Cricetulus griseus: one gene and its partner. The protein of the gene in region 2 purifies or fractionates together with the protein of the main gene of each other region. This does not show direct contact. Links are inferred from orthologs where the notes say so. Each region holds a gene or a part of one and is shown on either strand. Other genes may lie near its edges.

What was found.
Region 1: the proteins of Cyld (region 2) and Spata2l purify together in Homo sapiens (affinity purification with mass spectrometry; 3 studies listed by BioGRID and IntAct, with this or other methods). This does not show direct contact. The link is inferred for Cricetulus griseus from reciprocal best matches to the Homo sapiens genes CYLD and SPATA2L.

The regions. Positions count from the first base shown.
Region 1 is NC_048596.1:199,898,287-199,903,108, reverse strand, and holds the start of Spata2l (spermatogenesis-associated protein 2-like protein), read left to right. Parts: upstream 1-1,596; 5' UTR 1,597-1,685; exon of another isoform or gene 1,686-1,935; intron 1,936-2,045; 5' UTR 2,046-2,046; coding exon 2,047-2,349; intron 2,350-3,861; coding exon 3,862-4,822.
Region 2 is NC_048596.1:164,369,698-164,373,789, reverse strand, and holds part of Cyld (ubiquitin carboxyl-terminal hydrolase CYLD), read right to left. Parts: intron 3,469-4,092; coding exon 3,360-3,468; intron 2,569-3,359; coding exon 2,450-2,568; intron 2,156-2,449; coding exon 1,939-2,155; intron 362-1,938; coding exon 177-361; 3' UTR 1-176. UniProt on the Homo sapiens protein: Deubiquitinase that specifically cleaves 'Lys-63'- and linear 'Met-1'-linked polyubiquitin chains and is involved in NF-kappa-B activation and TNF-alpha-induced necroptosis.

The DNA of each region.
Region 1 (4,822 bases), about 36 Mb from region 2:
ACCATTACAACTCTGAAGGCCTTGAATCTAAAATCACCAGGGCTGCACTTCCTATAAAAACACTAGTGGAGGCTCCTTCCTGCTTCCACCAGCTCCTAGATAGAGCCTTTCAGAATTCCTTGGCTTGGAGCTGTATCCCATCTTTGGCTCCGTATTCATAGAGCTTATATTCATAGGGCCTTGCACATAGTAGGCAATGCTCTACCTCTGAGCCCCAGCCCCAAAGGCTTCTTCATTTTGCTGCTAACTCCCTCATTATACAGGGCTGTATACATTATACAGGGATCCAGGAATATCTTAAAACAAGACAGGCATGGAAACATTATGATTTGGCCAACAATGTCTCTGTGAGTTGAACCAATCTCAAAAGCCAACCACTGTTCCCTTTGGATTGGTGTGGGCCCACAGCAAAAAGCTCGGTGATAGCCCCAGGATGCCTTAGGAGAGCTGCATACTTAGTTTCACTATTTTAAGTCGGTCAAATCTGAGGGATTCTCTGGGTGTTGGTGGCACACTCTTTAATCCCAGCACTTGGGAGGCAGAGGCAGGCAGATCTCTGTGAGTTCGAGGCCAGCCTGGTCTCCAGAGTGAGTGCCAGAATAGGCTCCAAAGCTACACAGAGAAACCCTGTCTCGAAAAAAAAAAAAAAATCAGAGGGATTCTACAAGAAGGCAAATACCTTTCCCATGCTGGGTTCTATTTCATCAAACTTAGCCTAGGTCTAGTGACCTGGAGACATGAGAGGTACAGCCTGTCCAGGAAGGGACCTAACAGAAGATACCGCTTGCATGAAGCTTAGGTCTCAGGATTAAGGGGAAGGTGCCTTAGGTTCAGAATGAAGCACATGAAACCACAAGACAGGGGACAGTTCCCCTGAATTCACAACCCAGGTCAGTTTTGAATGACTGCAGGTCACGCACTTAAGGAAACACCTTGTCCAGGAGGGTGAGCACCTTCATCCTACCTCAGATACCCACTAACCGACTTTTCTTACGGACTGGGAAACAAAGCCTGCAGAGTCAGACTCTGACGCCACCCATTTTGTTTTGTTATTATTTATGGTGTATGAGCGTTTTGCCTGCATGTATGTGCATCAAATGTGTGCCAGATTCAGAGGCCAGAAGTGGGTGTTGGGAACTAGAGTTACAGACGGTTGTGAACTGCCATGTAAGTTGCTCTTACCCACAGAGCAATCCTTCACCCCACCCGTTTTAAATTGCATTTAAAGAAATATATATTTGAGCTCCTTTGGTCCACGATCTGCCAGCCAAGTCAGCTCCGCCTCGCGGGTATTTGACTATTCTTCGGGTTGGCTTAAGAAGCCAGAGTTCAGCCTGATCTTCAACCCGATGAGGCTTTACTAGGTATATCTCAGTGACCTGTATTATACACCCACTGTGCACTTCCACTCCCTGGCTCGGAACCAGGCGATTAACGACCACAGACCAGTTGAAGGACTAGGAACTTGGAGACTGGCGAATTTCAGAGAACCTCAAAAGGTGAGCCGCCAAGGCAGGCCACGCCCACACCGCCACCCTCCCACTTAGCCGAAAGGGTGGCACCCGATTCCAGCCTCGCCCCCCGACGTCACGACCAAGGCCAAGGGGCGGGCTTGACTCTCTGCGGAAGCGAGAGGCTAGACCCAGGCCCAAGCAGAGCTCTCTGGGACCGCTGGGGACTAGCAGGTAGCACCGCCGCCCGCGGGGTCTACAGTATGGTCGGTTAGTGGGAAAGGGGCTCTGGTTGCAAGAGGCTCAGCTGGCGGGAGCGGGTATCCACTGGAGGAGGGTGCTGTTGATACAAGGGCGCTCAGCAAGTCGGGCTGAAGGTCTCCTGGGGAGGGGAAGCTAAAGATACCCTGGTCACCCAACTGTCGGCGTCCACATCTCCTGGATGAAGGGGACAATAGGTTCTGAGATTCGCTAAGCCGCCAAGGTTTGTTTCCAGGTTGGAGGGGGCCCTGGGGTTGCTGGGTGCGGGCTCGGGAGTCGCACAGCTGAGGCGACATGGTCTCTAGTTTGACACCTCGTCCCGCGCTCGGTCAGGATGGGCAGCAGCTCGCTGTCAGAGGACTATCGCCAGTGCCTGGAGCGCGAGCTGCGGCGGGGCCGCGCGGGCGTCTGCGGCGACCCCTCGCTGCGCGCGGTGCTTTGGCAAATTCTGGTGGAGGACTTTGACCTGCACGGGGCGCTACAGGACGACGCGCTGGCGCTGTTCACTGACGGCCTGTGGGGCCGTGCGGACCTGGGGCCTGCCCTACGCGATCTGGCCCGCGCATTCGAACTCCTGGAGCTGGCCGCTGTGCACCTGTACCTGCTGCCCTGGAGAAAGGAATTCACCACCATCAAGGTATCATTTGGCGATGTTCCTCCACTTCCTTCCTTTGTCCGGGCTGTTGGGGGCTGCCAGTCCTCTCCAGGGAAGAGTTCCATGCTGAGGGGCCGTGGGCGTGTTGGGATGCTTGCCTACCAGGGAGTCAATTCACCTAAAACTTACATTGCTGTCCTCAAAGTAGTCTCACTGCCCTAGTTGCTATGGAAATTCTAGGATAGACGTGGGTGGGAAGGTGAGGGAGGTACTTGATGTCCTGTGGTCATCCTAACTCCAAGATGTGGACTGATCCTATCTGTAAGAGGAGGCCACTAAGATTAAGAAGAGAACAGCCGGCCGGGGACTGGGGAGTATGGACCTTGGTCCTGCCTGGGTCCAGGTTAGGCGGCCAGGTCCAGGAATGGCCTGGTCCTTTGGTCAGCTGATGGACCACCAAGGGGGGGGGGCAGGGCCGCTCTGAGCTAATTTTGAGTGGGAAGGCAATGACGTTAGTGAGCACGTGGGCGAGGTAAACCTCCACTGGTTGCCATAGCAGCTGCTCCCCCTCCACACCCTTTTCTCTCCCTGCCCCACCAGCTTGCTGCTCCCCTGAAGCAACTGAGATCTTGGAATTTTCATTCATTCTTTCAGGCTAGAGGCCAGCCTACCCGCCCAGAGGACAAAGACTGTTAAGGTTGGCCTTGAAATAGGCTGGTCCTGGGAGTGTTGGGAAGGAGCTGGTGCAGGTAGTCTCCTAGTTGTGGGGTTTTAGCTAAGTTACCTCTACACCCTCTATGCCCCTTTCTCCTAAGAGAATAGTCAAGGTACAAAGACCTAAGAAGGGTGTTGTGACCAGAGCTCCTCATGTACCCACGACCCCTTCTTAAAGGGTCTATGCAGGGAAGTACTCTAAGGATGCCTGGAGTGGTAGACTTCCACATTTGGAAAAGATCCATAATTACCTTGGTTCCCTATGTAGCTTTGATCTAGAAAGCACATCCCCATCTGTTAGTGTGGTCCTCTCACCAGCTGCACATCAGACACAGCAAGGGACAGTGAGAGCAAAATGCCTGGTCCGATAGTGACAGATCACCAGGATTAATGGAGGGAGGGGTGCACAACAGAAAGGACAGAGTATTCCTATAGGCCGAGGCAGGAGGATGTTGAGTTTAGGGTCAAGCTGTTTCAAAATAAAAGAGGGTGGTACCCACACCTTTAATCCCAACACTTGGGAGGCAGAGAAGTAGGTGGCTCTCTGAATTCCAGGACAGCCAGGGCTACACAGAGAAACCCTATCTTGATAAATCATGGTGGGGGGTGGGCATAAAAGGCTAGGGATATGGCTCAGTGGCTCAGTACTTGCTTAGTATACACAAGGCTTCTCCCTTAGAGAGAAAAAAGATCCAAGCTCACTCCAGCAGATAAAAACAGTCTCTGGGGGTGAACACAAACTTCAGAAGTGAACCAAGGTCAAGGCTGCACTGAGTCCACACAGGTTACATCCAAGAAGCTCTATGGAAGAGCATTCCTGACCAGGACCCTTCCTTGCAGACCTTCTCAGGGGGCTATGTGCATGTGCTGAAGGGCGTACTCTCTGAGGAGCTCCTGACTCGAAGCTTCCAGAAGATGGGCTACGTGCGCAGGGACAACCACCGCCTAATGGTGACCACCCCACCCCCTGCTTGCCAGCTGGTTCAGGTGGCCCTAGGCTGCTTTGCTCTTCGGCTGGAGTGTGAGATCCTAAGTGAGGTGCTAACTCAGCTGGGCACAAGTGTGTTACCAGCTGAGGAGCTGCTCCGAGCACGACGGGCTAGCGGGGATGTTGCCTCCTGTGTGGCTTGGCTGCAGCAGCGGCTGGCCCAGGATGAAGAGCCACCACCACTACCTCCCCGGGGCACACCTGCTGCTTATGGGGCCCCAGTGGACCTCTATCAGGACCTGCAGGAGGATGAGAGCTCAGAAGCCAGTCTGTATGGTGAGCCCTCCCCAGGGCTGGACTCACCCCCTGTAGACCTGGCATATAGGCCACCACTCTGGGAACAGAGTGCCAAACTATGGGGTTCTGGGGGCCAGCCCTGGGAACCCCAAGCTGATGATCTGCACCGGGCCAGCAGCCCACCATATGGGGCTCTGGAAGAGGAACTGGAGCCAGAACCCTCTGCTTTCTCCTTCCTCTCTCTACGCCGTGAGCTGAGTCGTTCAGGAGACTTAGCTACCCCTGAAGTCCCTGGGAGCCCTGGGCAGGCCAGCCCCCGACACAGGCAGGCAGAAGGAGCACCAACCTCAGCCTATGGGCCTGTTGTGGAGCCTCTGGGCTACCAGGCACACAGCTGCTTGAGCCCTGGTAACCTGCCTACCCTCTGCTGTGACACTTGCCGCCAGTTACACGCTACCCACTGCACTGCCCTATCAGCCTGCCGCCCAACTCATTCACTGCGCATACTTCTTGGTGACAACCAGAGACGCCTGTGGCTGCAACGACCACAGGTGGATACCCTGATCTATGATAGTC
Region 2 (4,092 bases):
TAAATACTTCAAGAACACAAAAGCAATTTGTTTGGAAACACAGGAATCCTTTGCTGAAGGGCCATCACCACAAAAGACACCCATTGCCGGCAATGGGCGCCAGACAGAACCACCAGCTGGAGGAAAACACAGCGCTAAGCTTTGTGCTCGGTCTCTGCCCATTTCAGATGACCTGGTTACTTGTACAAGCTCATGGTTGGACTCTGGTACATGCACATGTATGCATCGCAAAGAAGTCTACGTGCACAGCCTTGAATCCGTCTGGAATCCAAAGAGTGCAGGTCCTCCAGAGACATCTTCAAGTACTCTCCCACTTCCGGGCAGGGTGTCACTTGTGGAATGTTGAAACCATTCTGACCACCTACGGAGAGAGGAGAACTCTCTTTGTGAGCAGCAAACTTCTAAGTCCTCTTGGCACCCTGTCCCACAAGAACAATTTTATTATCCTAGAATTTAGTGAAGACTGATTCCCAGAACTGAGGGGGGCAGGGGCTTTGTTTGACTTTCTGTCTCTAGAATTACAATGTCCTTTTTTGGTTTCTGAGAGGGTTCAGCAGACAAAAGAGAATAAAATTGGTAAAAGGACAAGTATTTAGGAAAAGATGCAGCCCTTATTTGCAGGCTGCTACCCATGTGTACACACAAAACCTCAGCCCTTCATACTTTTATGTCCATCTCAGATATTAGCAGCCTGACACTTTTCCACAAGACTATCCAATTTTGAGCAAATCTAGTAATTACAGACTACTGTTTCCCTGAGTTTTAAGGACATACTTGCACACCTCTAGCACTGTTGGTTTACATACTGATCATCAGAATATGCATGATCATCTGATAATGGATTTGCTTTCCCAAGTGCTTTCCTAAATGGTATGCTGCTAATGCTAAATGGATGAAGCACATGCACAGGAGGGGTAGGCTGTAACCTCAGGCATCTGAGAGCTGAGGAGAGATAGAGAGCTGTTGGTCAAGAAGCTGCCAGTAGAGATGGCCCAGAGGATAAGAGCACTGCCTGCTCTTCCAGAGGTCCTGAGTTCAATTCCCAGCAACCACATGGTGGCTCACAGCCATCTATAATGAGATTTGTGCCCTCTCTGACCTGCAGTCCTACATGTAGGCAGAACACTGTATACATAATAAATAAATAAATCTTAAAAAAAAAGAAGAAGCTGCCACTAGGTGTCTCTGGTTATTGGAGAACCACATCAGAAGCCCTGGGGGACTAGGGCTTGGGAAAATAACTGTAGATAAAAGGTGGTATGTGGGGTACTGTGGCAAGTACCTTACTACCAAAACCCCTTGAGATTCTGACACTCAAGTGTATACTAAGTAATAACTAAGCTTCCTAAAAATAGCTCACTGAGTAAAGGTTTCTTCCTGAAATGGAATACATGAGATCAGGAAGATGGAGTTAAATACAAACTATGCAACCTTCACATCTTAAACTTTAGCTTTAAACATCAAAAAAAACAGGCATGATTTCCATGACCAAAGTATCCCACAGAGCTTAGCATTTACATCCTCAATAAAATGGCTACTATACTGTATATAAAAAGGAAAGGAAGTAGATGGTAAAATCAGCTCTAAAAGAAGAATTTTAGGAGTCTATGTTTTGTTGTGTTTTTTCTTTTGAGGTGGAGCAAACAGAAACAGGTTCTCATTATGTAACACAAATTGACCTCTAATTCACAATCCTCTACCTACCAAGTCTGAGATTATGGACAAGACTCTTTAACAAGTCTGTATAAGGGCCAAGATGTCACAACATTATTGTTACTTAGTCTGAGTACAGATTTATTAATACTCTTTGAAAATTAAAGTCTGTAACACTATGATATCCTTCAAAGAATTCTCTCAAAAAATACTCTACTACTCTAAACAAGTGCTCTCGATAGCTCACTAGGAAGCATCTCACCCTAAAAGAAAAGTTTTAAATACCATCTCGATCAGCCATGCTGTCAAAGAAGAGCCAGGCAGAGTCATCCTTCCCATACTTCACAAAAGCAACATAGTGGCTCGTTTCTATGCAGAGAACAGCAAATAACTCCATCTTCTGACAGGGGATGCAGCCATGTCTCCAGTCCCAGTCAGGCAAGTCTTTGGGAAGTGATACTGGATGATATGTATGATTCAACCTCCTGGGATGGAGGTGAACCTAAAATGGACCATTAAGAAAATGCCACACATGAGCTAATGCTGTATTTCAAGGGGATAGACTCTAATCACTTTCACTGACCACATCTCTTACAAACACAATCAAGTACTACACACACACACACACACACACACACACACACACACACACACCAGCAGATGAGACATGAGCAATAATAATTATTGTGAATGTTTAAAGTACACTTAGATTCTGAAAGGCTTTCAAACCCTGCAATGTACTGGACCATCAGCAGCTGACTGCTGCAGAGCACATGCACCAGTGAGTGAGGGTTACCTGAGTGCTGCAGGTCTTACAGAACTGCTTTATCTTCCCTGCTGAGATGTCGGGGTCATCATAGCACTCTCTACACTCATACATTGCAAGTCCTCCACAGATGCGGCATTGCCTGGGAGCTACCGGATGCAGAGAGGGAAGGAAGAAGCCTTTTTAGAAGATATTCTGTTATTAAAAATAAAAGCTATCCTTTGAAAACAAGAATGCTGGGGGGAGTCTAGCCCTCTCTAACCCTCTTAAAATTTCACTTGGATTTTCTTGTATTTGTAATATTTTTCAGGACTTTTTTCCCCCCAAATAACCTATTCTAGAATTGTTCCTCTGGTCATGAAATGTCCAAAGATATAATATATATATATATATATATATATAATATATATATATATATATATATATATATATATGAGAAAACCAATAGCACATATGGTCTTAAGTCAGTGACAATCTCTACCATTATGAACTTTCTCTAACAGTTTTATGTCCTAGTATTTATATAACTGTGTGTACCCAAGTACACGTGTATCTCAAGCACCTCTCATCCAGCCTCTTAATGCTTTCCCTTCCACTAACTACCACACACCACTGTTTTCATATGTGTTGCCCTCAAACCCCTGGGTCTTAATGATAGTAGGTCCATTGTTTGGATATATAATCCAATTAACCACTTCCCTCTTATTAACATTTATTGTCTCTAATTTCTTGTCAGATAATTAGTGATTTTGTATTTAAAATATTTATTTTTACTTTTACTTTTTTCAGAATAAATTCTCAGCACTCAAATTATTGGCTTAATATGCCCAAGCTCTTCCGATACTGAATTACTTGTCAGAAGTACTGTATCTATAACTAATGAAAAGTCCAGGCCAACTATTTCTAAAAACCAGAATAAAACAAAGGGCTGTATACTTACTGTCTTCAAGCAAATCTGTTATATTTAATTCCAGGGAAGGAAAAATTTTTTTAAATAGCTTAAAGTCTTTTCCAAACCGAGGCATCTGGATAATCAAGCATGATGGTGCCTTAAAAAAAAAAAAAAGATACATAGTTTTAGAAATCAAAGTCCTAAGGAACTGGGGACTCAGCTCAATATAGTGCTTACGCAGAATGTCTAACACCTTAAGTCCTATTCCCTTTACTAATAGAGGAAACGTGTAAAAAAGTTTCCCTATGAAACTGAAATAGTCATGGCTGTCAAACCAAGCAGTGATTTCACCAGTGTTGTTGGCCCATGAAACGGAGCCCACTTGTGAATGTGCAATGCGGATGCAGTGCAGCACTTCCAGACTTTCCTGTTGGACATAATCATAGATAATGCTACCTAAACATCAGCAAAGAAGGCAGTAAAATACCACCTCAGAGATGAACATAATAAAAACAGACCACAGCATGCATTACTATAAATCATCCACTCAGAATCAAAGAAACTGTTCTACTGCATTTATTAGCAAACCCATGCAGAACTTACTGGCATCTTATCTCTTAACATTACCTTTGACACATTTAGATAATATGCATGGGTAAAATGACAACTAAAAACATAAATATGTAATGTGTATATGCATATCTTTGGCATTAGACTACTTTAAAGTTAAAAGTTAGCTTTTCTTTCTTTCCAAATACAAAACATTCCAACTTAAGCTATG